6 separate regions of the Mus musculus genome follow, and all the other regions are reported to be linked to region 5. The links are microRNA targets in miRTarBase. Many come from high-throughput screens and were not tested one by one. Region 5 holds a microRNA gene; each other region holds the end of a gene's coding sequence. Distances are from middle to middle.
What was found. The annotated mature microRNA mmu-miR-7b-5p reads UGGAAGACUUGUGAUUUUGUUGUU and lies in region 5 at 2,120-2,143, opposite strand. An mRNA with a match to its seed (bases 2 to 7 or 8) in the 3' UTR can be bound and repressed. Matches are read on the target gene's strand: a 7mer-m8 pairs with bases 2 to 8, a 7mer-A1 pairs with bases 2 to 7 and ends in A, and an 8mer does both.

Region 1 (5,074 bases), not on the chromosome of region 5:
ACGAGTATTTGCCCAGTAACTCGTCTACTGAGCACGACCGACTGAGCACAGAGATGGCCAGCCAGGACGGGGAGGAGGGGACCAATGACAGTACTGAGTTCCACTACACCCGGCCTCTGTATAGCAAGCCCAGCATCATGGCTCATAGGCGCTGGATCCACGTGAAGCCTGAGCGCTTGGAACAGGCATGGGATGGCATGGATGTTCACGCAGCCTACGATGAGCACCAGGTCACTGAATCCGTCAATACCATGCAGACGGATCACTCTGCCCAGCCTTCGGGAGCAGAGGAGGAGTTCCAAATTGTGGAAAAGAAAGTGGAAGTAGAGTTTGATGAGCAAGCAGAAGGCAGCAGCTATGATGAACAGGTGGACTTCTATGGCTCCTCCATGGAAGAGTTCTCTGGAGAAAAGTTGGGTGGGAATCTAATTGGACACAAACAGGAGGCTGCCCTTGCCGCAGGCTACAGTGAGAATATTGAAATGGCGATGGGGATAAAAGAAGAGGCGTCCCACTTAGGATTCTCGGCCACCGACAAGCTGTATCCTTGTCAGTGTGGGAAAAGTTTCACGCACAAAAGTCAGCGAGATCGACACATGAGCATGCACCTCGGTCTTCGCCCGTATGGCTGTAGTGTCTGTGGTAAGAAATTCAAAATGAAGCACCATCTCGTGGGCCACATGAAAATTCATACAGGCATAAAGCCCTACGAGTGTAATATCTGTGCAAAGAGATTTATGTGGAGGGACAGTTTCCACAGGCATGTGACTTCTTGTACCAAGTCCTATGAAGCTGCAAAGGCTGAGCAGAATACAACTGAGGCTAACTAAAAATAGGGTCTGGCCCTTGAGTGGCATGCATAAAAATAAACTATGGTAATTAATGCAAATCTGGGCACAGATGATGCGTGCCACTTGCTATTATGAGAGAGGCTTAAAAAAAAAAAAGATATTTCTGAAAGACCAGCTCTAAGTAGGCCAATTAAAAGATTTAATTTCTCAAATCTGTATGTTCTCATCCTGGCCTAAATGGATGATGGGGCTAAGTTCACCCAGTGCCCAGCTGGCAAGACAGCTCTTCCAGTCAGCAGTGGCTAAGGCAGGGGACTGGGTGGCAGAATCTAACCCAGTCCTGCCCAGGTGGCAGCGGCCGGCTGTCACTGTTGTCCTGAGGTCTTGTTGCATTTTGTTCTCTCCTGGTAGCTACAGGGCTTCTGGGCTTTGCTTTGGTAGCTGCATCTCTGGATGCTGCTCCCCTCAAGGCTACAGCAAGGACTCCTGGGCTGAGCTGTGAGCAGAGCTCTTTTTTGTCTACTTTCATACCGTTCTAAAGGTTCTAGCTAAAGCCCTGGTGATGTCAGGCGGAGCTTCAGAGTCCGAAGCAGGAGACACTGTCACCATGCTGCAGATTCTGGATAAGGCACGATTTTATGTTTAATTCTACTTGGTCAAGTCTATGGGTGCCAGAGATAGGTGTTTCTAGTTGGTGTGTTGTCCTACGCTTCCCTCATTTAATGGCAGGGGAAGACCAGTTTGCAGTGTCACACGACAGTGCTGGCTAGCAGTGACCTGTGGCTCCTCTGCCTTAGATCATGGTGCTACCCAAAAGGGCAGCCAGGGACCACAGCTCCTGAGACTAAGCCAGAATGGATGGCTGAGGGTTCTCCAGGAACAAGACGTTCCCAGACTCAGTAAGTGAGAGGCAGCAACTTATACACAGAAGGCTTGAGAAAGGAATCCTAAAAACACTGGTGTGGACAGTGCTCAGTTAGAGGGTGCGCTGAGCAATATTGTCAGCTCTTTGTGGCTTCAGAGGGGGAAGGAGCCCTACATTAAGCAACGTCATCTACAGACTCATGTTCCCCAGTCACAGAGAAAGCTGCATTTACAAGTCCCAGTAGTTTATGCATACACACACCATACATACATACATACATACATACATACACCATCTCTGCAAGGACAAGGCTGTCCTTGAGGTCTGTTCTGCATGGTCAGATGTTTTAGGTTGGGAAGAAAGCTTAAGCTCAGAAAGCTTTAAGCCTGTGACGGGCCTGAGGCTCCTGCTGGGTAGGGGTCTGGTGTGCTTTGCGTTACTGGCCAAAGCAGCTTAGGGAGGAAAAGGTTTATGTCAGCTCACACCACCGTCAGTGAGGAAACTCCAGGCAGGAACTTGAACATTGACAGTCAAGACTGCTGGCCAGACACGCCCACAGGCCACTCCCACAGCAGAGACTCCCTCTGGCTCTAGGCTGTGTCAGACAGAGCTAGACAGTAGGGCAGGGGTTTGCTCCTATATTATCATCTGTTTCATTTTTAAAGTTTGGCTTTCTCTAACATGACAGACATTTCTGGCAAAAGCCTCTGGTCTTCAGGCCCTGACACAAAGGATGTACCTTTGACCTTTGTCTGGAAAGAGGAAAGAAAAAAGAAAATATGGACTCGCCAGTAAATGTTTGTGATCAAGATTACAAAACAGGGATCTATTTACAAACACTGTATCAGTCTTGGCATATAAAAGCACTTTGTATTAAACCTTTATTATAAGTATAGATGTAGGGTTGTTTTTGTTTTAAAATCTAGAAACTAGGTATTACCTCCTAGTGGTTTGCTACATTCAGATCTTCCAGTGTCTGCCAGTCAGCAGCCCTGTCCCTGTCCCTGTCCCTGAGAAGTGAATACAGATGTACAGTCACACTCACACGCCTCCTACCCTTCACGTATTAGAGGCCAGTGGGTTTCCGGATGACCCTGAGCTTGGTGAGGATGAAGTGCTTTTGGCTTCTTAGTATTTCTACACTGAGGCAGTTAAGCTGTTCTGTTGTCAGAAGCAACCCTCATGTTCATGCCTTCTGCCTGCTGGGCAGATCCATGTGCTGTCTCCCATTGAAGTCTATTCATATAAGAGCTGAGACCTTTGCAGGGAAGAGTTTGGGGGGTAAAACAAGCCTGGTCCTTGGGTTGTACTGAGTCAGTAACCTTTGTCAAAAGCTGACAAAGCTTTCGTTCAGTTGGAATGTGGCAGACCCTGTGAGAAGGTGGGGTGTCCACGGTCCAGAAGGCTTCTGACCTGCCTTTCCCAGTAGAGAGCCTTTCTGGCAGCCTGCCCTGTTAGAGTACCAGCCTCTCCCCTCACCACTGCCTTAGGAAATAAATCCTCACCCTTCCAGAAGAGCCTGACTAGTCTAGTCGTGGGCAGCACTGCCCACCAGTACAATGTATGTCTCCACTCTGAGCCTTGGCTGGTTGTCTCCAGTCCGAGTACAAAGGGCTTCAAGGCCCCACTGGTTGCGTTTCCTAATCTGCAGGCACATGCCTTCAATCTGGGATGCACACGTCACAGGAGCTCCTCTTGTGCTGTGGTTTACCTTGTGTTCTCCCGAGCCCTGGCCCAGGACCTGGGATTTCTGCTCTCACCACCTCCGCCTACATCTTCAGAGCCTGCCCTAAAGGCTCCCTTCCATTGCAGGAGAGAGGAGTTTCCTGAACCACTCTGACCCTGGGCCGCCTTTTAGCTGTTGGGAAAGCTACGTGCTACCGTGGGTGATGTACCCTGAGAAGTTGAACATTCTGGAAAAGGTGTACTGGGGCTGAGTCCCCAAGGTCGGGGTGGAGCTTTGCTGTGCCCACAGATGTGGTTGCTCCCTAAATTCTCAGATACTTTGGAAATGCTGAGGGCCATAGGCCAGGCTATCCTTGGCCTCCTGGGAACTAGGCTGCTTTGACCGTAAAACTAACTTTATCCAGAGAATCCTGGGTTGCTTTGGGTTTTGTTTTTCTTTTTGTTCTCTCTCTGCTATTTACATATTTAAAGGTACTAGTTTGCAAACCTCTACTGATAGTGCCCTGTGGGAAGATGCTGGAACACCTTTTGCAAATGTGATTTTTTTTTTCATTTTAAATGTTGCTTGAAGCCTGTGTCATGTCAGTTGCTGCTGCCTCCTTTCCTTTTATGAGGGTCCCAATGTTTCTTCCAGAAAGTTATTTTATTTATGCAAGTCAGGTGACTCTTAGACCACAGAACCATGGGATGATAAGCAGATTGTCATTAGGTGCATATCATGGATATTTGTGAACCACCTGTGTTTTAGAAGTTAAATAGTTCTTTCTAGAATTGCTGTCTTCAGTGTACAGCGTGGTTTTAATTGAATGTTACCGTTTAATATTTTCTTCTTATAGAAGAGACCATGTCCTTTTGTATGACAAGTTTTAATAAATGTTACCTGTCCATTTTGTACAAAGTTGTGTTGTTTTCACTCATGTTTTGGTTCTGGCTTTCGTAGTCTGATTTTAAAGTTGTATCATCACCCTTCCATAGGTAAAGACGACACAGGCCGTTCACAGGTGTCATGAGTGCCTGATCTCAGAATGGCTGCCGACGGTTATCCCATCCAAACCGGCCTGCCACAAGCGTTGCCTGGTTCCATCCTCCCCCTGGGAAGAGGCTGACTGGCCCCTTGGCCTTTGGCTTGTGGTCAGGAGCCATCGAAGATGCAGGTGGGAGGGGTGTGATGGAGAAGCCGAGGGAGGGGCTTTACCCCCCAGCTGTCTCTAGGTGCATGTTGGCAGTGGGCAGCCTCTCCTTCCTAGGCCACAGTTCCAGACAGTAAGCTTTGGTACCACACCCTCTTCTTGTCCCTTCCAGTTCCATATTGGACCCGTCTCCCTGCTTTTTTGCCAGCCCTCAGGTGCTTCACCGCCCTGCTGGCTGTTTCTCATTGGGACCCCACGCACACTATGGGCTTCTGTGCTCTGTAACGTCCCCATGTGCCTCAGTCGGGCCCTTTCCTTGTCTTCCTGCATCCCCTTCTCCCCGAAAAGCCCAGCCCTGGAAAAGCAGCAGCCTGCTTCGGAGGCCCCACATACTTCCTCACAACAGCTCATTACCACAGACACTGCTTGTTTTAGACCATCTTCCCACACAAACCTTCTGTTACCACTGTTTGTTGTGAGGCACCCCCACCCCCACCCCCACCGCCCTGTTGCTGATTTTGAAGCCAGCTCCGGATTGCCTGGGCTCACTTAGCGGTCTCTAGGCAGGGAAGGCCTCCGGAAGACCCTGCCTAGCCCCATTT
Region 2 (5,074 bases), not on the chromosome of region 5:
GATTGACTTTATTTGGGATGAAGAGAAGGCCCAGTGCTTAAAACATCACATATTCTAAATGTAGGGGTACAGAACCATTGTATAAGCATATTTTCAACTGATACCAGTCACTCTTGACATTTATCATAATAAGAATTGACATTAGAATTACAGTTCTTTACTGACATGTACATAGAGATTTTATATACTATGTTACATTGCGTCTTCATTTATGTCTTTTCATGAATTTATGTCACTTTATCATGTTTGTGTATATATTGTGCATGTGTGTGCTGAATATATTTCCACTAATTTCTTTTTTATATATAATTCCCTTTAGGAATAAATTTGTGGAATTTGACATGAAGCCAGTCTGTAAGAAGTGCTACGAGAAATTTCCTTTGGAGCTGAAGAAAAGACTTAAGAAACTATCTGAGACCTTAGGAAGGAAATAACTTTTGGTGTCTTTTTTCTCTCTCTTCTAATCAATGTTACTTAACCTGATCTACCCTTGCTTAAAACTATGTCAGAGCATTAGAATGGTTTTCTTCATTTCCCTTTTCTCATTTAAAAACGAAAGAAAATGTTTATTTCTATGTAAAACACAGATGAAATCAGGACTTTCATTTCTTTAGCCATATTAGTCTGTAGGCATTAAAAGTATATAACCAAAAACAAAAACAAACAAAAAAAAAAGGTTAAAGGGTAGTTTTAATTAAGCCATCCAAAATATAAATTTAACTTCAGAGTTAAACACCCTGCTCTATGGACCAACCAAAGCACTTGCTGCCAGCCTAGTACTAAGTTGAATCCTTAAGAGAGTATCTGAGACAGTGTCCACATGGGTCATGTGGAGCAAGAACTTACTCCCACAAGTTGTTCTCTAACCTCCACAGATGGCCATGGTGCATATGCGCCAACACACAGTTAATAAACATAATAGACAACCACTGTTATAAAGAGTCAGCTTTCACGGGACTCACATAAGCTTTGCTTCCCTGATCGCATAAGAAAATCATTTCCCATTCATATACTGGGAACTGTATGGGAAGATAAGTGCCCAAACAGTTCCTATGTTGTCATGTGCTTATCCAGTTAGCATTGTAAAAGGAACATGCATATTACTAAGAAGCAAAAACATTTCAGGATGACTGATTTCTTTTTTTATTAAATCACTAAGCTTAGTTTTCTATTTTGTTCTCCTTATAAATTTTTCCTTCATAAAATTACTTAACATACTTGTAACTACTAATGCATCTTTTACATTTTTAAGCAAAACAAAACAAAAATTTGCCAGTTATCTGGAAAATATTGCATACATTGTGATGTTGGGGAAATGAAGCATTTTAAAACTATATTACACATAAAATGCATAGTATTCAAATGGGACATGAAATGCACTATAATGCAGCTTCGAATGTATGGCTTTCAAAAGTGAGCGTGAGCCAGGTGTGGTGGCACTAGGCTTCAATCCCAGCTCTCTGCAGGCAGATCTCTGTGAGTCCTAGGCCACCCAGGGCTGCATATTAAAACCTTGTTTCAGAAAGAATGACTGTATCTCGTATTATCTTTGTGCTAATATCTATACTTCATACATAATCTAACTTGCCTTGCCTTAGAAAACTGCATCCTATATCAGGAATTCTAGATATTTCTTATAATATCAAAATGAGTATTTTGATTGAGATTCATAAATTTAGAATCATTCACCACTGATACATACTTTAAAAATTCTTTTCTCAGGAAGCCAGTGAAAGTTAATTCCTGTCCTCTTATTAGAACTATGCTGATATACTAAAACATTTTAATGAAGGCTTTTTTATTTCAAATGTCATAACTGGGTTTTGTTTACTATAAAGCAGTAAAGCAGTATAAATGATACCTTTAGACTGAAAGAGGGTGGTAAGAGTATCAACTCTAAGGAAAAATTGGGGAGTTCTACTTTATAAAACTGTTTATCCTGAAATGTCTGGGCCATTCTGTTTGTATGAACTCAATATGCAAGAGTATGAACATTTTTTAAATTTTTCTGCTGCTAACATGTTACCTTCTTTTTCAGTTGCCAAGATATATTTTGCAAATACTGCTGAATATAATGACTCACATTGTAGTCTCAGCATTTGGGAGGCTGAGGCAGAAAGATTACCAGGAGTTGGAGACAAATCCTAGGTTACAGTGTGAGATACTATCCCCCAAAACATCCCCACAAACAAAAACACTAGTGTATTGTTTTGCCGTAAAGAATATCTCTGGGGCCTAGGAAAACGTTCAGTCAGTAATGGACTCACACCAGCCTTAGGACCTGAGTTTAAACTTGGAGGGAGCAGATCCCTGGATTTTACGAGGTAGCCAAACTCAGCCTAACTAGTGAGCCCCAGATCCAAGGGGGAAATCCTGTATTCCAAAAAGCAAGGTGGATGCCTCCTGAGGAAGGGCCGCCTAGACTGATCCCTAGCCTCCACATCCACACACACACATGCACACATTCAGAAATATGGATGTGTACACACAAAAAGGATATCTCAGGATGCTGTTACTCTGCCATTAAAAGTTTATAATCATGAATTTTTAAAATACTTGATTATGCACATTATGGAATACATTTCTGTTTCCAGATAACTAACTTGTAACCAATCATTTTATTTCCTAATATCCTTTTCATATTAAGAGAATTATATGTGACTAAAAATATACATGATTTGTGTTTGTTAAGCATTTTAAATTTGTCTTTGCTTTTGACAATAAGAACCAAAATTTCTTCCGTGTGCCTTTGTCAGCTAAGAATGACTAGCAGTGGCTACCTTAGAAGTATTTATGAACTATTGTACATGCGTTTAGGCAGATAGAACTTGTAGTCTAGCGTCTTGATGTAACTTACATACCTCACTGGAAGTATGGAGCAGAAAAGCACTCATTCCCGTGCTTTCCCCATCCCTTTCGAGGTGTGTGGCCTTGCCTGACTGCCTTTGCTTACGTGACATCGCTTAAGCCAGAGTCCCCACTGCTGTCTTTGCTCACTTCTCTTCAGACAGGAATATTCCAGTAAGTTTGATCTCATAATTATGTGGTAATTCATCTAGAGATGGTGCTTTTCACTGTGGGGTAAATCATTAGAGCCCTTAGTGTGGAAGATGGAGGTCTAAATGGGGCCAAGACAGAGACTTCATCTACTTCCTATTAGTTGTGGGGTTTCACTGGCTGCTGGCATTTGTCAGTGAACATCTGTTTGAATTTCTGAGAACAATCTGAAATAATTCATTGTGCTTATGAAATTTCTAAGTGCCCTTTTTGTCCTTATCCTAATATAACATGGAAAATGGATACACAAAAAAGATTTTTTGTGTCATGTTCAAAGCCTTATTATAACACTTTGCCTGAAATAGGTCATTTTGCCTCATCCATTTGCCAAATTAGCCAATTTCAAGTTAGGGAAACTTTGATGTAGGCTGACAATATCCTTGTATTTTATTTTAGATTGTAAGCTTAATGGCAAGAAATTATATCAATAATTGTGCTTTTTATGTAGCAACCATTGCTGTGTACTTTTGGTGCTTAATAAATATTCATAATTATTCATAGTGTGTTACATATCATTTAGTTTGACCTATCTTTGAGAATTCAAATATTCATTTAGTATAATATGTTAGAAACATCATATATGTAAGTAAAAGAAAATGGCCTGGGTATGGTATACAAGCCAAGTTTTAGCACCTTTTGTATTAACTTTTCCTGGGGCAACACAGATAAATGTCTACTCATCCCAGACAGAGAACCATTCTACCCACATAGTTTGCTGATGTGGTGATTTCACTGAACTAATTTCCAGCAGTTTGGGTGAAGGCTACTTACAAGAATTTGGATAACTTTAGGACAGCTGCATCATAGAAAAGCTGCATCCTTGCAGCACTGGGACAACCTCCAAAGCTGCGTAAATGGAGCCCCACCCTTCAGTTACCTTTCCTCCTACATATTCTAGTGCCTCTCACAACACGCCCCTCTGGAGCAGAATCACTTACATCTGGGCTCAGGGCGTGCAGGAGGGAACAAGTAGCTCCTATCTCAAATGAGGTCTAGTGGCCTCCCCCACACACCTCCTATAAGGAAACTGCTTTGCTCAGGGTCTTGCAAGTAATCAGCAGCTATGATTACAATGGTACTAACTGTCTTACTCCAAAGACAACATCCCACAATGTCACAGAAATTGTTGGATGTCAGAATAAACAACATTTTCCAGTTCTAGGGACCCATTCCAGACCTGGCCTTGTGTTTGGTAGATATACCAATTCATTGCACACTGACCAAATGCTTGACAAGAAGCAATTTAAAGGATGAAGAGTCTCTTGTGATGAGGAAGTGTGTGTCAGCTTGCTCACATCTGGGCTGATCAAGAAGTAGAGGGAAGCCTTGGCTGCAATCATTTCTGGGCTATAACCCTTAAGACCCACCCACTGGAGCCTCATGGAGATAGTCCATATTCCAACCCTAACATCCAGTAAGCGCTCTGCCACTGAGTGGAATTCCAGCTCTCACTTGGATTTCCCTCTCTTCACAGGACAGCTGGGACTTTCCTTTGTGTACCCTTGAAATAACCACATGAGTAGATTACAGACCACCATGAATATAAGGCCACTTCAGAGTGCTTTACTAAAGCCTGTGACAGAGCAGGCTCCTGCCATAAAGTACACTTACTCTGAAGTGAAGCAGGGTAGGGTTTACAAAGTCAAGGTTCACAATCACATCACACCAGAGTGGCACGGGGCAAGAACAAGAGTTTTCATTTCAGTCGATTAAACCCTTTCCTTGTATGTTGTAAAGCAATGGGCCTTCCAAAGCTGTCGCTGTGGCTACATAAGAATCTTCTCAGCAGGATGGGCTCAGCCAATGGGAAGAGCTGAGTGTAGACTGTGGTCTGAGGGAAAGGCAACACATTGACCCATTATAAAAGGGGTAGCATTGGGTCCTCAGGTACGAAGGCTGTTCGTTTGAAAGAGTTTAATAACCAGTTAATTAAACAGTCTGTAAAAGGGACAAGAGGACTGGGTAGGCCCATGATTCCAATCAAACTAGCCATGGAATTGAGTTTTAGGAAAGTATA
Region 3 (5,074 bases), not on the chromosome of region 5:
ACATACTGAGATGGATTAAGTAGCACGCATATATTCAGGCATGTTCTTGATTCTATTTAACACTTGTCATTGGACAGAATAGTTCTTCATCTGTTTCTCCACACACATGGACTAACCTAGACAAGAACTTTCCAATGGCCACTCCTCAATGTTTTACAATAGGACAACTTCATAAGGCTATGGGATAATCAGTTCAAATTCTAATCATAGAAACAGAAAGTGATTACATAATTTGCATGACCCAGGGCAACAAGAAAATGCAAGATCCTCATTAAAAATTTATTAGTAAATTCAAGGCAACAGCAATAAGGAAATAAACCAACTGTGGGGTCCTTATTGGCACAAAACCCTTGGAACTGAACAGAGATTGTATCCCCATGAACCCAGTTCTTGATAGACATTTCTCTAAGAATTGTGCTCAGTTTTGACACAGAGGAACTTAATGGATTTATTACAACATGAAAGATCTGTCTATGGACTTTGAGTATCATGTGAAAGACATCCAAATAAAGCAACACAATAAAATTAAAGGCACCCTCATTTTCTGCATGAACACCCTTCTTTATGGCTTCATTTCTTACTGCACTTACTGAGATTTCTCTTTCTTTGGTTTCAGATTCACCCAAGAACCTAACAGAAGCATTTGTTATATAAATAGGAAAAAGAACAACCTGTGGAATATACGTTGTGAGGATTTAAAACATCTTCCATAGTTGCAAGCCAAGTGGATCTCTTATCTGCACTTTGGTTACCAGATAACCACAGTGCACTTACTCTGATACACAGTATCCCAAAAGAAGAAGACTCGGGATTTTCTGGCAACATCAAGGAAAATGGCTTTTAAAAAAAAATGAGTTTTCTCTGTGAAATTTGGAGGATCATGAAGAACGATCAACTGTCTTCTAATTTGGAACTAACATTACTTTGTACCATTTGAAATATATATGTATATATAATATTTTGAAATATTATATATTCTCTTCAAGAAATGAACAGTACCACAATGTGAGGTGGCTGGTGTATCCCTTTCAGTTTTGGATGTTTGGTCGGTTTTGTTTTGTTTGCCATTCCTTTTTCTCTCGGTAAGGAAGATACATGCCCATGTGAAAATCCAACATGGCACTCTCCCTGGAAGGCCAGCTGCAAGCCGACTCCTGGAAGCTGAGGCATCCTAACAGTACTGAGTCAAGAGCTTCCCCCTGTTTCTACCTGGTGACCCAAGGAAGCTCCTTGTCTTGATTTATTGCTTTCTATCCTGTGCAATATTAGCATGCAAGCTTGGCTTACATAATCATACTTTATATTCGATTGATATATAATAACCGTTCTAACCTCTTCCAGGAAAATATTTTTAGAACTACTAGCTTTTCCACAGATAAGCAAATGGGGATTCTTGAGGGAGCTGCTCCACCGTGCTATTAAGACTCTGGCAGGATGGTAGGATGTAGATCCCTATATTAATAAGTCCTGTAAATACAGTGTCTTAGGGCTTTGTATAGCTGTCCTAGACTACAGAAGTGTCCTCTGATTAAATCCAAAGTCTGCCATTGTTAACTCCATAGTGCTGTAGCGACACGTTTTATCATGGCGCCTCTTTCTATGTTTGCTTTGCTTTTTCCTAGAGTGTTCATCTCTCCTCTGATGAGATAGGAAAGCTATGGAAGCAATTAGGTTTCCCAATGATCTATGTGACCAAGTGTTGGACAGCCCTATTAAAGTGGTAAATAACTTCTTTCTTAACCCACTCGTCCTCTTTGTCTGCCATTTAGTTTTATAGACTCTCTTTTAACTAAACCGAGAGATCACGAGACTACGGAGGCTATTATTTCCAACAATAATATTTTTGAAACTTAGAAACTCATTAATATGATTGTAGTAAAATATCCAATTACAATTTCTGGGATTCCATGTGGGTCACTCTGATAATATATATGGGGCTCACACACACACACACACACACACACACACACACACACCAATGAGAGGTAAAAAACAACAAAAACCTAAAATCCATTATCCCTGTCTTTTTCGAGTTACTGAGCTGAGAGGTAAGAGGTAAACACCTACTTAAGGTCTAGTTTTCCTGGGGAAAATTTTAATGGGATTTTACACTCCGATGTCATCTCACAACTGCAGGGTTTTTTTTTTCTTCCCAAATTATTCTCTGTCATCTGTGTTTTTAGAGCCTCTTAGTAAATCACAGCACTGTAGTCCCTAAGTCTGTACTTTTTAGGATCAAACTTCAAGTAAAACTCAAGATTACCTCTTATTATACCCAGAAAGCCTGAAGTTTAATTGAATGTGTGAAGTTCTAACCAAAAAAAAAAAATTTTTTTTTTGATTCTGTATTGTGAAGGCCTGTAAAATGAATGCATCTAGAGATAGAAATAGAATCCGTACTGTAAAATTGAGACTTCCAAATGCTTTGGTGGATATTTGCTAAAAGATAACAAAATCTATACCAGTATCCATGTGTGGTGGCAAGTGATAGCTAGGCATCATTTGAGATCCCAGTACTTGAAACATGGAGGTAGGAAGATTGCAAGTTCAAAGTCAGCCTGGGATACAAAGCAAGACCCCTGCCCCAAAACAAAGAAAACCATTTGTGACAGCACTCATTTCTTAGTTACAGCACTGATTCAAGGGCCAAGCAATATGCTGGTAAAAACAACCTTTCATATGTCAACTTCAGATTAAAATTAAAACCATGAACTCTCAGAATTATACACTTGAGGAAAAATTAAAATAGAAATATTTGCCACAGAATTTAGTAGAACCTTTAGTATACCCAAAGATGGTATCACATCAAGGAAGATTAGAACAAGAGAGCCTGGTTCAAAACAAAAACAAGTAAGTAAATCAGGATTCCAGCATGGCGGGGCATCATTGTGATCAATAGGGGATCATGTGAAATGGGAGCCTACAGAAATTTACTTCTAGGTGAATTTACCATAACCACATTGCCATATCTTCAGATTTTTGGGAAATGCAGAAATCAAGAGCTTTGCATAAAAGTCCCTAACAGTCCTAATAAATAAGCCAAGTTCATTAAAATGGCTGCAAATGTTATTATTGAGTCTTGGTCTCTGAAGGGTTGACTTGGTTATGACATTTGTGTCTCCTAGAGTCTTCTGACTTTGATCCCAGATGAAAGTCCAATGAGAAGAGAAGAAACCAGGCTCTGCTCCTTTTGGGGGGGGATTTTTTATTAGATATTTTCTTCATTTACATTTCAAATGCTATCCCCGAAACCCTACTCTCCCCCCACCCTGCTCCCCAACCCACCCACTCCTGCTTCCTGGCCCTGGCATTCCCCTGTACTGGGGCATATGATCTTCGCAAGACCAAGGGCCTCTCCTACCATTGTTGGCAGACTAGGCCATCCTCTGCTACATATGCAACTAGAGACATAGCTCTGAGGGGTACTGATTAGTTCATATTGTTGTTCCTCCTATAGGCTGACAGACCCCTTTAGCTCCTTGGGTACTTTCTCTAGCTCCTTCATTAGAGGCCCTGTGTTCCATCCAATAGATGACTGTGAGCATCCACTTCTGTATTTGCCAGACATTGACATAGCCTCACAAGAGAGAGCCATGTCAGGGACCTGTCAGCAAAATCTTGCTGGCATATGCAAGTGTCTGGGTTTAGTGGTTGTATATGGGATGGATCCCCAGGTGGGGCAGTCTCTGGATGGTCTTTCCTTCCGTCTCAGCACCGAACTTTGCCTCTGTAACTACTTCCATGGGTATTTTGTTCCCCATTCTAAGAAGGAACAAAGTATCCACACTTTGGTCTTCCTTCTTCTTGAGTTTCATGTGTTTTGCAAATTTTATCTTGGATATTCTAAGTTTCTGGGCTAATATCCGCTTATCAGTGAGTGAATATCATGTGTGTTCTTTTGTGATTGGGTTACCTCACTCAGGATGATATCCTCCAGATGCATCCATTTGCCTAAGAGTTTCATGAATTCATTGTTTGGGTTCCTCTGTTGTGCAAAACTTTACTTTGGAAGACAATTCTGCTAACACACAGTATGTGTGGGTCATGTTTTTCTGCTCTGGAACCAGAAGCTATAACTCAATGTAAGAGCTAGCCTAAAGGGCTACATTTGTTAGCTCACCCGCATCCATGACTTTATGTAGTAGTATCCTCTGAAGAAACCTAGAGGAAAAAAAAAAAGCAGGAAAGCAGACCATATCAGAATCAGGCAGCCATCCAGTAAGACAGTGCAAATGTTTGTAAATGTCAGATTCAATTTGGATTTATCCAAGTCACTTACACAAATGTATGAACCATCAAATTGTGTTTGCATTTAACTTGTTCAAGTTTGGGGAATTTGGTACCTACCATCTGCCTACTGTGCCTGCACATTTGGGGTGCACAAATTTTTATCTCGTGGGAATGATAGTAAAGGGATCAATGTGTATGACTAATAACAGCTTTAAGCTCATGCCCAATGTACCATGAATAATGTGGTAACATAATTGGAATATATATATCTTCAGCCAGAGTTCTGTTCTTGAAAAAAGGAAAAGTGAAGCTTGCTCTAAGTCAAAGACTTTTAAAAGCGAGTCAAGTTCATTTGTTGACACTTGGAGATCTTGGATTTACCTCTTCATCAACCCCTCAAGCACACTGAGAAGTTAACTACTCAGCATTTTTCCAGCATGGAGTGACAAGTGCTTTCACCAACACACAGCCAACATCTTTTTTTTTTTTTTTTTTGATTAAATCGTGTAGCTTTCACAAAGCAATATAGTGATTTTTATAGTGCAATATATTACGCCACCTTGCCACTGTCACTGATACAGTAAGTTATGGAGGTTATAAATATTGTTTATAGGAGTAGAATAGTCCATTCCTCACATACAGCGTGTCTCTACTAATTAAGCTTGGCAGTTCCATTTCAAAAGCTCTTAGGGTCTGTTTGACATAGGAATGTGTCATTATCATTTTGCATGAGCTGCTTCCTTCTAAACCGAAGTGTTAGTGTTTAGTAAAATTGTGAGGGTATCTCCATATATTTTCTAAATACAAAAAGAGATGTGATAATAGGCAGAACTAAAGAAAGGGA
Region 4 (5,074 bases), not on the chromosome of region 5:
AGCCTGAGAGCTCACCAACGATTATACCAAGCCAAGTACTCTTCTGGGAGGCGCCATCTTCACTGCTGCCTTTTACTGAACTACAGCTAACCAAATGATCAGTGAAGATGAAGTGATATTCCATGAAAACAGACAAAATTAACCTGTTGGAACTAAGAACATCTGCCTTTAGCCTCATCGAGTATTTAAAATGTTTAAATAGGACATATCTCCATAGTCCAGGTTGACCATTGATAAAATGAGATCTATTTTATTTAAAAGGGATATTATTTCAAATTAATATAAATAAACCGTTGGGCCTAATGCTACAGGTTTTCAAAGCTAAAATGTGTTAATCATCTCAGAACAGTCTCTGGCATTTGAGTCTATAGTCTCTGTAATTCTAAACACTTGCAACAGTAAGATGCAAGAATTGGTTTTTTTCAAAGGGTCATTCACACAAGGGGCAGGAGGCAGGAACACTACAAAGAAAAGTGTTAACATACAAACAGCTCAGTTAGAGCTTTTGCTCAGAGGCAACTTTAAATTATTCACATCTCAATAAGCTTTCTTCAGATGTATATTATCTAAAGCCCTGCTCTCCATACATGAGCCAACAGCCACAGGCAACTCATGTCACATAAGTAAAATGAGTTCTGTCCTTGGGAGCCTTTGGGAGCTCAGGAGTGAAGGACGACTAGTAGCCCCATCCTCAAGAGTGTACAGAGCATTTCCATCATTGTGAACAGTGCACATGGGTAGCTCATCTGAAAAAGAAGAAGACAACTCCGCTATACGCTGTAGTGCTTTTTGGGTTTTTTAAAGTTGTTTATAAATCATCAAGGTCTGGACACCAATGGTCTCACATTTCTGTCCCTCATTTACACTATTCTATGAGACATTTGGGTCCAAGTACAACATGAGCTCAACTAGATGCTTCACACTGCTACAAAGATCAAAACTTAATCTAAGTTTCACACTATTATAAAGAACAAATATTCAGTAAGAATGACAAAATTGAGCAGTCACAATTAAATGATCTCGTCCTCCCACTGATCCTCAGTACTTCAAATATGAAAGAATACATAACTACCCACTCAAGTTTCTCCCAAGAATAGGTCAAAAAGCCCATTAGATCCTGCTCCACTTCAGTGTTTAACAAAAGGGGAAAAAATACAACTTACACAAGAAGGTTTGTACAAACAGTAAAACTCAAAACTGACTTAGGAATAAGTTGCTAGGAGCAAGGATAAAAAGCAAACTACTTTCAGTTGATGAATGCTTAAAAATGTTCTCCCTGGTACTGCTAGCCCAGTTGACTAACAAGTACACTTAGCAATCAAGTTTTTTATTTTATTTCCAAATTTACTTTGTCAGAATATAAAGTAGAGAGATAGCACCTATATCGTTCCTTCCAAATAACTCCTGATAGAGGGCAGTGAGAAATAGAACAGGTTGCTTTTTGATTATCTGAAACCAAATTATAGAATGCACACAGCTGTATCTTAAAGAAAAATGCAAACACAACTTAACCATACTTTATTTGACTGTATCTTATTCAGACAGCTTGCACATTTCAAATCCCATCAAATCTCTCTCTCCAAAAGGATAGGGGTCAATAGGAGAAAATTATGCAGCAATATCCCCAGTCATTAAACAGCAGTCCAATATTTTTGAGATACACGTGATAGTTCATAGATACTCAACTCATATGTGATGACAATGTAACTTATGGTTATGTTTTTACAAACCTGAAAGCCCTTGGACATTATAGCACTCATCCTAGTAATGTAGACGTATACTGAAAAGTAACTGGTGTACTGCCAACCTGATTTCCTGTATGGTCCTAGAAAGTAATGAACCTCATAATTTTTAGACACCATAATAAACATACACATCTAGTCATATATACCAGCCAAGACCTTAACACAGGGCATGGTAAGAGTTAAAACATGACAAACTCCTTTACATAGATTTGTCTTACGTGTGTATTAGAGGAGGCAGAAAATGGTAAAATCAATTTTTATCTTATTTTGCTGACTTCAACATCAAGCAGTAATATGTTTTATGATCTGTAGACTTGGATTATTCCCGAGTTAAGTAGTTTCATCCCAATGTATGGGAAATTACAAGACTGGTAGCATACCCGTTAGCTTTCTTCAATACTAACATATACAGCTTCATGGTAGCATGTATTAAATGTTCAGCAGTATCAACTGCTAAACCAGTGTCAGTGGATAGATAGTACAGTCAGTCTTAAAGAGGCAGCACCCCACTAAAAGAAAGTTGCACCAATTTTGCTCAGTTTTAGCCAAGTGAACCCACTGTCAATTATAAATGGAACCACTTTAAGCTGATAAAAGAGAATTGAAAGCCTAATGTCAAATTAAAGTTGAAGCAATTCAACTTGCAAAGTTTTGTTACTAGGTTATCAAATTAGGTTAAAATTTTAGGTTTAAAAAAAGGGTCAAGTAATTAAAAACATCAAAGTATACACTGATATTCAACATGTATCCATCAATTGAGCAGTATTGTAATGATCTGATATTTTAGTCACATAGTTAAGATCATGTTCACAAATCATCAGACAATCAGTTACTTCAGCAATTCTGAACTGAAGGGTAGTAGTGATACTTCCCTGACAACCTAGGAAGAACAAAACTTTTGAATTGGTAAGTCTAGCACATATCTATTTTACAACTATATCCATTAGAGTGAGTCAAGAAAATGTATGTTCCTCAACAAGTCATCCCTATGTACCAGCAAATCAAAACAACTTTTGACGATGTCAAGTACACTGTTTAGCTACTTTCCTTCACACTGAAAATGAGAACAGAGGCATTATGATGACTGGCATTCTTCTAAATGCTGGGACCCAAATGAAGTTTGACCAAAACAGATTCAAAATGGTCAGCAGAAAAGCTGAGTACTATGTGGTTATCACATTTTTAATATTAAACTTTAAGGAGCAATATAAAATGGAAAGACACATTTTCTTAAAAATAAGGAACTATAAATGATCCCACCAGCAGGAAGTTTTTATTTTCAAATATAAACTGTGCATCTTTATTTTAAAAGTACTTGTTACCATGTTCACTTCCAAAATACTATACTGAGCAAAGAGCAGCTTTCCTTTAAAACAAACAAACAAAAAAAGCGCAACAAACTTTCCTGAAAAGGGGCCTTTACCAACTGTTAATGGAGGTAGGGTTTTTAAAAATACAGTAATTACAGCCATAAAATAAAATTCAAACCAAGTATTAGAGTAGAAGAAAAGTATATTCAAAAGAAAAAAACAACATGAATGCCAGATTCCTATAAGCATTTTTGAGAAACTGACTCTTGTTCCTTATGAGTGCTTAGGTATCCTAGTTAAATAAATTACTCATCACAGCTTTACCAACTCAACCCAAAGCAGGGAGCTACAATTTGCTAACATTACACTGATTAGCCAAAATCCACTGTAACTAATAAACACCTTGGCTGCTCAGAAAACCCAAAGAACTCATTAAAAAAATGTTTCATCCCTCTCCTTTTTTTCTGGAGGAACAAAGCAAAGGTCCCCCAACAATCTGCTCATGAGTAAAAAGAAAATAAATGCAGCTTGAAATGGATACAATGCTCCTTGAAATTCATTTCTAACACTAAACCAAAAGTGAAGTATTTTCAGAAATGGAAGCAATGTGAATTCAAATAAAGTTAAAAAGAAAAAAGAAAAAACCCAGCTAGTTTATAGAAGCTGTTCTTCACAGCTTATCAATCATTTTGATTAAATAAGATCATACCAATTTACATTAATTTTCTATTGTTTTCAAAAATTCCCCCATTCTCAAAAAAACAAAAACAAAAAAGTGCATCCAAACCCCACAATTCCCAGCTCCATCCCTTTAAGCCATTTCTCAGTTTCCCAAGTAGGGTCAGCTTCTTACTGTAAGGGAAGAAGGGACTTCCTTCTAAAGCAAAGTACTGCCACTCACCTAGAAAAACTGTCCAAATGATAAAAATCTGAAATAATTTATTATCAAATTTAGAATTTAAATAAAAACAAGTTTGCTTGCAAAGGTATTAAAGAAAAAGAAAAAGAGCATGCATTCAAAAACTAGAGATGAAGACAAGAATACTTATCTACACAGGCACTGGCAGACGCAATTTAATTGTCATCTTTACTCATCATAAGACAAATTCCACCCTACACTTTTCATCCACTAATCACTGAGGTACCAATATTCAAGATGGAAAATTTAATATTGAAAAAATAAAACCTAAATTGAAGCTTTTCCCTCACCCCCTTCAAAAAACTATGGCAGGTTTTGTGTGAAATGTTAGTATACTTAGGAGACTTTTACAATCTACATTGGCTTCTTGAAGGAACAAAAATCATGTCCCACTTACTGGTTCTGTGATAAAATGATCACTATATAAATAGCACTGTCAGCAGACTTTGCAAATGAACAAGTCTTGGCTATTAACTGGCACATCCTGCTGGTACCAACAGAACTCTTGAAGTTTAAAACAATCTCATTTAATTCAGAACAAATGCGCCATGCCAAAGTGCAACAAATATTGTGCAACACTCAATGGACACTGACAGATAACAGCTGCATGGGAATCACTAAATCCACCTGCAAAGCAATTCTGCACAAATTGCATTGCATGCAAAAGTCGCTTCCGTGTGGGTGGAGTCGTTCCTTGCTGTCAGTTCCTCAGCGCAGCCACAGTTTAAGTCGCAGTGCGTCAACTCCATTTAAATAGTATCTGAACAGCCTCTTATCTCGAACAAAACCAAGATTTTCATAAAGTTTCAAAGCAGACTTATTTGTAATTTCTGTTTCCAAAACAACCTTCAAAAAAGAAAAAAACTTAAGTTATAATTTTACACTTAAAAGCTGAGGAAGTATATAACCAGATCAAGCATTTTGAAAGTTTAAATATTATGATAAAATAAAACTGGCATACAGAAAATGTCATCAAAATGAGAAAAGCAATTATTTTTGTAATGCTTCCATTTTTAGTAATTGAACTACATGTTTATAATAAAACAAAAATGAACTAATTTTTGTGGAGAAAAACAGGTGTCATTTAAAGAGAAAGAGAA
Region 5 (5,074 bases):
TCACCCAGTGAGGAGTTGAGGGCATGGTCAGGGGTGGAGCCCCACTTAGAGTCCCCCAGAAGAGATCTGTAAACATTCTGTTTGAGAGTATCAGCCTTTCCTAAATAGTGTGGCCGTTGCAGGAGGCTGAGAATGTTAACAAAGTCTTGTCCTAATTGACCAGTGAGGTAACAGGAAGTTTCTCCCACCGAGCTGAAGCCTGGAGAAGGCAGAGTTGGTTATGGGAGGTTATGTGAGTGGACTGTGCAGACCCAAGAGAGGAAACTGCATGGACAAAGCAGCCCCTGGGCTGCTGTGTGACTGAGTTTGATGTCAGCTTTACACGGGTGGAGCTTAAGGGAAGCAGGAACCTCAATTGAGAAAAGGCCTTTATCAGGTATTTTCATGATTAATGATTTAAGGCCATTGTGGGTGGTGCCATCCTTGGACTGGTGGTCCCAGATTCTATAAGAAAGAAGACTGAGCAAGCCAGGGGAAGCAAGTAAGCAACCAGTAAGCAACACCCCTCTATGGCCTCTGCATCAGCTCCTGCCTCCCGGTTCCAGCCCTGACTTCCCTCAGTGATGGAGTGTGGCCATCATTGTAAGCTGAATAAACTCTTTCCTGCCCTTTTCTTGAGTCAAGGTCCTGTCACAGCACCAGGATGCACACTAGGACAGCTGGGGAGAATTGCACAGTGGGGGATGGTTAGTGACTGCATTAGAATGTCACAGATGATAGGTGTTGAATGTTAAGAATGCCATGACCCACCAGACAACAAGTCCACATTTTCTTGGTATCAGTCATGCAACTAGTGGTTGCTTTGTGTGGCGGGCACAGAGTTTTATTGAAAATTGGGCTGGGGCTCCATGGGTACCGTACCCAGTCAAAGCATTTGAAATTCTGAATCCAACACCGTGTATGCTAGGCATGGTTCTCAGGGACTGGAGGCAAGAGAACTCAGTGTTCAAAGCCATCCTGGGCTACATTCAGAGTTAGAGAAAAGCCTGGACTACAGGTGACACTGTCTCAAAGCAGGCAAAGTGAAAAGAGTGAGGAAAAGAAAACAAGAAAGAGAAAAGAATTTCAGGGTTTTCTAGAAGTACCTTTGATGCCAATCCCTCTTTTAAAAGTTTTATGGCCGGGCAGTGGTGGCGCATGCCTTTAATCCCAGCACTTGGGAGACAGAGGCAGGGAGATTTCTGAGTTCGAGGCCAGCCTGGTCTACAGAGCAACAGCCAGGTCTATACAGAGAAACCCTGTCTCAAAAAACCAAAAAAAAAAAAAGTTTTATGTATGCACATGCTTTTAATTCAAACACTCAGGAGGCAGAGGCAGGTGGATCTCTGAATTTGAGGGTAACCTGGTCTACAGAGTAAGTTCTAAGACAGCCAGGTTTATATACAGAAACCCTCTCTTTTTTTTTTTTTTTTAAATGTAATTCTTTTTTTTTTTTTTAAAGATTTATTTATTTATTATATGTAAGTACACTGTAGCTGTCTTCAGACACCAGAAGAGGGAGTCAGATCTCATTACAGATGGTTGTGAGCCACCATGTGGTTGCTGGGATTTGAACTCTGGACCTTCGGAAGAGCAGTCGGGTGCTCTTACCCACTGAGCCATCTCACCAGCCCCAGAAACCCTCTCTTAAAAAAAAAAAAAAGAAAAATTTTTATGTGTGTTTATTTATTTGTGTGTGGAAGCATGTGTGTCACAGGACATGTATGGTCAGAGGACAACTTGCAGGAGTTGGTTTTATCCTTCTACCCAGTTGATCCTGGGGCTCAAGCTTGGGTTCCCTAATTTCAAAGCACTCTTTCCCTCTGAGTTACTCCACTGGCTCACCATTCCCTATTTGAGTCTCCAGAGAAAGCACGGTGCTGTGACCCAGGGCCCTGAGGTTGTGTCTCTGATCCTATCATGTAGATGTGTTTGAGTGACAGGCCAATAGCATGGGAAACACTCCTGCACTCTCCCAGGGCCCGAGACCTTGCTAGACACCCTCTCCTGTCCGTGCTAGACTTCCCTTAACCCCCTCCTGTCCCAGTTTCCTGCCCCTACCTGTTTGTGTATTTCAGGAGAAAGGTGATAGGAGTCCACGCTATGAGGCTGGCTGTGACTTGTTGTCATATCATATCAGAACAACAAAATCACAAGTCTTCCACATAGCACTGGCTCACGTACTCCGCTCCTCGTCCTCATCCTCCTCCGCCAGGTTCAACACCCTCAAGTGCTTCTCTCTCTCTCTCCATAGAGGATTGAGCATAACAAACCCCACTCACTGACTTACCCTCCCTAGACATCCCTTTTCCATTCCATCCCCTGAGACACAGGCAAGATTCATTCTCTACCTGCCCCCCAACTCACACCCTGGCACATCACCAACGTGGGATTTATTGTTCCAGGCACGAGGAGCACACACTTGTCACCCCAGCACGCAGGGAGTAGAGGCAGGAGGATGAGAACTTCAAGATCATCTTTGGCTACACAAGGAGTTCAAAGCTTGGTCTACAGTGTTTTAAAATAATAATAATTATATATATAATTGAGAGAAAAACTCTTTTTAAAAATAAAAAGAACTTGAGATTTAAAGTTGGATTGAGGCTGGCTTTCCCCTCACCACTTCACTTTGGAAATTAGTACACCCAGAGGCACTCATAACATCTCGTTGACCAAATGCTTCGCCTGTACTCTGTGAGTTTGAAGCCAGCCTAGTCTACATAGTGAGTTTCAGAACAGCTAGAGGTACACACAAAAAAACCCTGTTTCAAAAAAGAAAAAAAAAATCCCTCCGTAAAGGACAAATGCCAAGAACCATTAAGAGGTTCCTTCCCTGTACACTCTCCGCCAGAACAGACCCCAAGGCGATCCCTGAAGCTGGGTGTTGAGAGCTTGGCACTGCCAGGGGCCGGGTGCTGAAGCCTAGTCTCTTCGTGACCCGCTGGGAGCTGTCCGAAATCCTGGTGCTGAAGCCGAACTCTGCTCCGAGTCCCTCAGCCGGATGGCGCTGTCCGCGTCTCCAGTGCTGAAACATAATTAGTTATTGGGGGAGGGGGTGGTCAGTGCGGCTCGAGGACACTCTCCCAGCTTCTGCCTTCTGCCAAAATGCCCCGCTCCTTGTTTCTGTTCTTCGTCCTAGGGACCCATCTTCTGTTTTAATCTCTTCCCATGGACCCGGGGTGTTCTAGGCGGGGACGAAGGCGCAAGGCTCTCACCTGCTCCCACATCTCAGGGAGACAGCCCTGGGTTCTCTGCCCTTCCTAAACAGTCCAGTTGGCCTTCTGGAAGATGTGCCAACTTGCATTGTACCCAGAGTCCCCGCTTCCCTCCCTCAGCGCACCTTTTCCTCCTTCCTTCGTGCCTTACCTTCTCCTGCTCACCAGCAGCTGCAGGTGTCTCGGTGGCTGTCCAGTTTCCGACGTTTCACCTTTATGCGCTTAAGGGGAAGGCGGAGCGCTGGAAACCCTGGGTGGGGCTTAGCCAGTGAACCAATAGGAATCGTCTTGGAATGAAGCTCCAAGGATTACCTCATAGGTTGAGGCCTCGGCTTCAGAATAAAAGTCAGGCATCCGTCCAAAAACTTCTTTAGGGGTCTCCAGAAGGTGTCAGGGTGTAGTCCTGTGGCCTGTTAAGTTTCCACGAGAGGATCATCTAAAACCTGATCACTGAGTAGCCAGAGGATTAGCGATCATCAAGCGTGTGCCTGCTGGGACAGAGAAGCTGAAAAAAAATGTTTGAAGAAATTGAGGGATTTTGAAAATAAAGTCCAATTCTACACAGGGAAGATGAAGTGTGCGGGAATGAGACTCACAGAAGCGTAGGATAGAGGCGGAGCTCTGGCGATTTTTGTTTTGTTTTGAGTTAGGGTCTTGATTTGTAGTCCATGATGACCTCAAACTTATGATTCTCCTGCCTCAGGCTCCCATCAGGAGTTTGCCTCCACACTAGATTGATGCAGTGCTGGGAATGGAACTTAGTGCTTTCTGATTGCTGGGCCAGCGCTCTGTCCCTGAGCCCTAGTCACAGTTTCCCCCCTCTAACACAGTCTCTCTCACTTTTGTGATCCTCTTGCCTCAGCCTTCTCAGCACTGGGAAGGCTGGTGTGTGGCACATCACACACCTTCATTTACATAGCTTCCTTTGTAGCACCAAAGGGACAGACAGTCAGGGAGGACACACACTCAGGCTTGTAAATCTCCTACCAGCTCCTCAGGCTGCGGAGCTGGCAAGCCAGGTTCATTCTATACACCCTAGGGGCATGGGAGGAGGGGCTGCAGGGAACCTGGGATGAGACCCTGGAAAGCCACCTGCAAGATCTAAGCTCTGATCAGTTGTCCCTTTCCCTTCTAGCAGTCTCTTGGGTAAAACTTGCATGCCCCACGCCCTTTGTTTTTCTCTCTTATTTCTTCCCATTCTTTCAATTTGGATATGAACCCAGAGCCTTGCAGTCCCTCAAAGAGCTAAGTCATCTCCCTGAAATTATAAGATTTATTTATTTATTTATTTATTTATTTATTTATTTATTTATTTATTTATTTATGTGCACATGCACAGTACATGCATAGAAGTCAGCAGAGAGCTTGTGGGTCCTGCAGCCCACATTTAATTTAATTCATTTTAAACCTTTGGAGAATTCTTGTTCTTTTTATTGTTTGTTTGCTTGCTTGCTTGCTTGTTTGCTTTTTGAGACAGGGCTTCATTGTGTAGCCCTGGCTGTCCTGGAACTCACTGTGTAAACCAGGCTGGCTTCAAACTCAGAAAGATCAACCTGTCTCTGCCTCCTGAGTGCTGGGATTAAAGGTTGGCATCACCACTGCCACGCTGGAGAATCGTTTGGGGCTACGGGAAGCTGTTTGGCAGGTTTCTTCTCTCACATTTGTGAGGTCCTGTGTTCCATGTCCGCACATACAAATCAATAGAAAGTGAAACGGTGTGTGAAAGCCCACCCTCATGCATGTGCACACACGCGCCATGGTGCTTATCTGGAGCTCTGTGAAAGCCTTGCACGAGTAGGTTTTCTTCTTCTGCCACATGTGTCCCAGGGATAGAACTCAGGCCACCCCACAGCAAGTGCCTTCACCCTCCAGCTCCATTG
Region 6 (5,074 bases), 1.0 Mb from region 5:
CATGTTTGGCCTGGTCCAAAGTTACATGACTTGCAGGTGCCCACTGTCCCAGGCCACAGGAGCTGTGGTCTCCAAGCCTGTTAAGTCATCAGAGGCCACTGATGCTCAGCCTCAGTGAGGATGTGCTCACAGACAGCCGGGCTGCAGCCAGGCCTTTCAGGTACTCGGTATGGAGGGTTCTTCTGTCGTATTTCAGACAGGGTCTCACGGGACCCAGGATGGACTCAAAGTCCCTGTGTAGTGGAGCATGACCCTGAGCTACTGATCCCCCTGCCTCCACCTCTGCTGGTCTAGTCTCATAACTAAGAACTGAGAAATGCCATCGCGGATGTGGCTGGCAGATTGATGATATTTGTTGGTGGCATTTTCTCCTCTCAGGATGGTCCCTCGGCCCTTTAAACCTTTTTTGACTAGGCCTAGCAAGGGGAGCTCCAGTCAGACAGCAGGTCTGTACCATTCAGGAAGAGGTAAAGATGGCACCAGAGCAGGTGAGGGGTCCCCAAAGTGCCAATGGCTCAGAGATTGGCTCTGCCACTCTCCCTTAAGTGAGCTCAGTCCCCTGGCCCCACCTCTTGGTTTCTTGCTCTGGTCAACTGAGAGGTTCTACTGTACTGACACAGGGCCATAAGTGTGCATTCGAGTGTGTGTATGCACTGGGCCTTGTCAGCCCAGCTACTAGAGAGGTAAAGTCATGAGGGTCTCTGATTCAAGTCAACCTACACTATCCACCAAGACCCTCTCTCTCGGAAAAAGAAAGAAAGAAAGAAAGAAAGAAAGAAAGAAAGAAAGAAAGAAAGAAAGAAAGAAAGAAAGAAAGAAAGAGGGAGGGAGGGAGGGAGGGAGGGAGGGAGGGAGGGAGGAAGGAAGGAAGGAAGGAAGGAAGGAAGGAAGGAAGGAAGGAAGGAAGGAAGGAAGGAAGGAAGGAAAAAGGCTGGGGAGATGCTACAAGGGGGTAAAGTGCTTGCCCAAGCATGAGGACCTGAGCTCAGAGCCCATGCTTTAAAAAGTCAAGCTTGCTGGTACATTTTTATTAGAGACAGGTAGGGCTCAATGGCTCACCAGCCTGACCTAGTCAGGAATCTCCAGGCCAGTGACAGACACCTCTCCAAACAGTGGGCGCCTGAGGGACAATTGGAATGCCATCCCCTGGCGTCCTTATACATGTGTGTGCACACCCACAAACACACAGACACAAACACCTTCAAATTTAAAGCCAGTATCCAGAATTCAGAACGCTCCCAAAGTGTTGAAGGTTTATCTCTGAGGTTGCAGACGCTGGGAAGACGTCCTCAGTTACTGGGCTGAACCAGTAGCTGAAGCAGGAAAGCCAGCGGCTTGCGTCTCATTCCCAGCCCCTCTGCCGAGCTGCCTTCTCTGTACACAACCCTATTTCTCCTTGTCTTCGAAGCACCCCCTGCTTTTGGATCTGCCCTGCACGCTGCAGACAGTGAACCCACCTTGCTGAAGGGTCTGCCTCACCTAGGAACTATGACAGACAGTCTCAGAGTCTCTGATGGACAGCTTCATGCAAAGGCTCCCTCTAAGCCACTCTGGTCACCCTCCCTGGCCTCCAAATAGCTCCCCCAGATCCTGCGAACTCCCCCCCCCGCCCCCCCCAGTGCCCAGCACGCAGAGAAAAATTCCCAGACTAAGCTATCCAGAGCCAGAGGCTTGGTGGTGGGAAGCCGAGAAGGAAGGTGACTAGGAAGGGAGAGCTAAGGTTAAGAAACAGCTCTAGGCAGGTAAGGCACAGTCAAGGCCTCTCACCTGAACCTTCATTTAGAGCCTGCATCAGAGACTTTAGCTCTTGTTTAAAGACCAGAGCGCAGCCTCCATGTGGCACCTTCGTAGATGACGCCAGGTGCTCTCAAGCCTGTGACACCTGGATACTGAGACAGGAATCTCACCTACACCCTCTCTTTCCTGTCACCTACACCCTGCATGGCTTCCTCTCCATCCCTGTTCCCAACTCAGGTGGGGCATGAGCAGGGCACCCATGACTCCAGCCAGTCCTAGCAGATCCCCTGTCGCTCCTGGCCTCAGCACCAGTGCCAACTCCACCAGGCCTTTCAGAGCGGCTGTGAGCTCTTCCAGGGGCCTCCCCGGCCAGCGCCAACACCTCAGTTCTATAGAGGTGGAACGCAAGGGTCTGGGGACAGCAGGAGAGTTTGTGATGGGAGGGAAGGCAGGAAGTGGGTTGCTTAGCCACCTCCACCAACCCTAGGTTCCTATTCTGCTCCTTGATCCTCTCCCGGCCCTAAGTTCCCCCCCCCCCCCCTTTTAGGCTTCCTGCTCTGTGCTACCACCTTTGTCATATGCTCCTCCCCTGTCCTAGCCTCCTTCCCAGATCCAGGCTTCCCCTCCCAGCCCTCCTTGCTATTTAGGCTCCTCCCCTGCCATTTCTTCGAGTCACTCTAGTCTTCCTCGCTCCTGCTCTAGGTCCTAGATTCCTCCCTGGCCTCATCCTAGGTCCTCCTTTAACTAAATCCTTCCTTAATCCTAAGCACCCTCCCCTTCCCTAGGCTCTGCTCCTATCCCTGACTTCGCCACGCCCCCGCCCTTCCACTCCCCGCAAGTCTTTGACCACGCCCTTGCTCCACCTAGGCTCTGCCCTATGCCAGTCCCCAGCCCAGATCCTACTCTGCCCACAGTACCCTGCAAGCCAGTAGAGTGCGCCTGCTGGAGGGTGAAGAAACCTCTGGGCGGCTGGACCAAGGTGGCCCACGATGCACCCCTGTTTCGCAGGGCGGCTGCCCAGCGCCTGCAAGGTGAACAAGGGTCCCTTGGAGGCCTCTTAGGCTAAGCTTTCCAGTCTCACCCAGCTGGGACGCCTCACCCCTGGAGAGGGGTCTAACTGCAGTCATGAACACCAAATATTGCTTCCCACAATAAAAGGGACCACTGAGCCAGCAGAGCTACAACCATGGTGTCTCACTCCAACCTCTGGCCTAGGAAGATCTCCCGGATGATCACTGGGATCCATCCCCTCCAAGACCCCTTCCCTAGTCAGAATCCCATCTCTTTGCTGGGCCCAACCCAACTGCTAAGACTCTTATGCTGGGTCATTTCTAAGACCTCAGATGTCTCCACCCTCAAAAGGGGTAAGCTGGGTGGACATGCCCCTCAATCCCACCCTCCAGGCATGTCCCCTAAGGCAGGGACCCCTGCACTGAGCATCCAGACTGGCCACCCTTGTGCCCCATGGTTGTCCTGCAACCTGCTCTCCTGTACCCTTCTGCTAACCCCTGCCCAGGCACTCCCCCATGGCTCCTACCAGGTCAAAGTTCTTAGCATTAAAGGACAGGTATGGGAGAGGCCTGAGCCACACCCCCAGGGCACCTGACTCTGCCTACAGGATCCAGACCCAACCCAGCACTATGGGAGACACTGACCACCAACTTCCTGTACTGCCTACTGTGGGGGAACAAGGGAGTCCAGGCTGCCAGAGCTGACCGCATACAGAAGTTCTATCACATCCTGTCCCATCAACTAAGAACCTCATGGCTGAGAGCCCATCCCCCATCCCTCTTATACTGGCGGGACCCCAAGGACACTGCCTCCAGCTATTCAAGAGGCTACAAACTGAACTTGGTGCCCACATCCATCACGCCAGCACTTGGGAAATGCAGATGAGAGAATCAGGAGTTCAAGACCATCCTTAGCTACATAAGTTTGAGGCCAGCCTGGGCTCTATGAAAACTATGGGGAAATTGTTTTGAATTCTGCTCCCCTCCCAGGTCCAAGTTTATAAGAATCTTCCTCTTAAAATGGACCCCAAGAGACTGGGGTGCAAAAATGGACCCCAAGAGACTGGGGTACAAAAATGGACCCCAAGAGACTGGGGTGTAACAGCTGCCTCCTTTTTACCAATAAACCCACTCAAGTATCCACAGAACAACACTCACGCTCCAGTATGAACCACTCATCCCGGCAGCTGGGAAATCTCTGCACTCTAGGGAAACGGAAGGTAGACATGCCTGTTCTAGAGCATGGAGATCACAAGCATGGGTAACATGCACAAGGCAGGCTTGCCAGAGCGCACCGAGGTTCACCTCCATTTATTCCACACGGGGCTCATAAGAAAGCTTTTATCTCATTTTAACTTGGGCAGGATACATGCAGGTATGAGTGCGACTGCCAGAGTCGGCCAGAGGGGGCCTAGGCTTGGATGTCTGTGAGCTTTGGGAGCTGCTTTTGAAAACCAACTCCTGGTCCTCTGCAAGAGCATCCAAAACCCGACTCCCAAACCACCTCTCCACAGAGATGCCTTTTGAAGGTCCATTCCCGACACTGGCGGTGCAGACTCCAAGAACTTTATATAATTATATATACTTTTTTAATATAAAACAAAACTTGGCTCAAGCCAAGCGGCGGGAAGAAAGATCTTAAATGACAAATATGTACAACCACGTGGGAAGCCACAAGTGGGTCCCCGTAGGGTGACAGGTGACAGGTGAGTGAGGGACAGCAGGTTACACAGGTCTCAGCCAAAAGCCACGTGGGCAGGAATAAAGTGCAAGGTCCTGGGGGCCCCCCCTGTGGCCCAGAAGCAGCAGCTGACAGCCCTGCCCCTCGTCCCCCTCTGGTGGGGTTCAGTTGAGTGTGACTCGGAGGTAAGAGGTGGGCACGTAGCCCTCAGCTCCCTGTTTCCTCCTGACCCGCGTCCATCCATCACCCTTGTCTTCCTCCATCAGGCTGAGGTCTTCCCCCTCGGACATGGAGACGGTTCCCTCGCTGGATCCTGTTGGGGAGTAGCGGGGGCAGGTCAGATTTGATGAATCTGATCAGAAGGCATGGCTCCAAGCAACTGCTACATCCCCTGGTGTAAGGGGAACCTGGGATCTTCTAATCTCAGAGACAAACTTCTGGGATGTCCGAGAGGGAGCTTCTAGATTGTCTGAATTAAGATGGGAAGCCCCACCATGAATATGGGCAACACCATCCCACTGGTTGGGGTCCTGTACTATACAAAGGAAAATTGAGAGTCTGAGGCAGCTCTGTGGGTAAAGATGCCAGCTGTCATGTTTGATACCGAGGACATAGACAGTAGGAGGGAACCCACCTCTCTCACACA

Region 1: the mRNA of Zbtb43 is a reported target of mmu-miR-7b-5p. Seed matches in the 3' UTR shown: 7mer-A1 at 1,076-1,082, 7mer-A1 at 2,622-2,628 and 7mer-A1 at 3,969-3,975.
Region 2: miRTarBase lists Lims1 as a target of mmu-miR-7b-5p. The part of its 3' UTR that is shown has no 7-base or 8-base seed match.
Region 3: miRTarBase lists Tafa1 as a target of mmu-miR-7b-5p. Seed matches in the 3' UTR shown: 7mer-A1 at 704-710 and 7mer-A1 at 1,334-1,340.
Region 4: the mRNA of Naa30 is a reported target of mmu-miR-7b-5p. The part of its 3' UTR that is shown has no 7-base or 8-base seed match.
Region 6: miRTarBase lists Trip10 as a target of mmu-miR-7b-5p. The part of its 3' UTR that is shown has no 7-base or 8-base seed match.

Annotation. Positions count from the first base shown.
Region 1 is chr2:33,449,453-33,454,526 of GRCm38, reverse strand. Zbtb43 (zinc finger and BTB domain containing 43) reads left to right here. Exons shown (of 3, transcript NM_001025594.1): 3 at 1-4,240. The coding sequence ends at 830. Among named protein-coding and RNA genes, the nearest start is that of Zbtb43, 17 kb to the left of the region's middle.
Region 2 is chr10:58,421,135-58,426,208 of GRCm38, forward strand. Lims1 (LIM and senescent cell antigen-like domains 1) reads left to right here. Exons shown (of 11, transcript NM_001193303.1): 11 at 320-3,557. The coding sequence ends at 321. Among named protein-coding and RNA genes, the nearest start is that of Ranbp2, 23 kb to the right of the region's middle.
Region 3 is chr6:96,654,151-96,659,224 of GRCm38, forward strand. It overlaps Tafa1 (TAFA chemokine like family member 1), which reads left to right. Exons shown (of 5, transcript NM_182808.3): 5 at 617-3,048. The coding sequence ends at 634. Among named protein-coding and RNA genes, the nearest start is that of Gm26011, 96 kb to the left of the region's middle.
Region 4 is chr14:49,187,296-49,192,369 of GRCm38, reverse strand. Naa30 (N(alpha)-acetyltransferase 30, NatC catalytic subunit) reads right to left here. Exons shown (of 5, transcript NM_027492.2): 5 at 1,482-4,820. The coding sequence ends at 4,683. Among named protein-coding and RNA genes, the nearest start is that of Naa30, 18 kb to the right of the region's middle.
Region 5 is chr17:56,240,086-56,245,159 of GRCm38, reverse strand. It overlaps Mir7b (microRNA 7b), which reads right to left and starts at 2,172; the gene lies at 2,062-2,172. A230051N06Rik (RIKEN cDNA A230051N06 gene) reads right to left here and starts at 3,444. Exons shown (of 2, transcript NR_155493.1): 1 at 3,346-3,444; 2 at 2,355-3,004.
Region 6 is chr17:57,262,667-57,267,740 of GRCm38, reverse strand. It overlaps Trip10 (thyroid hormone receptor interactor 10), which reads right to left. Exons shown (of 15, transcript NM_001242389.1): 15 at 4,044-4,741. The coding sequence ends at 4,593. It also overlaps the pseudogene Gm46575. Among named protein-coding and RNA genes, the nearest start is that of Vav1, 14 kb to the left of the region's middle.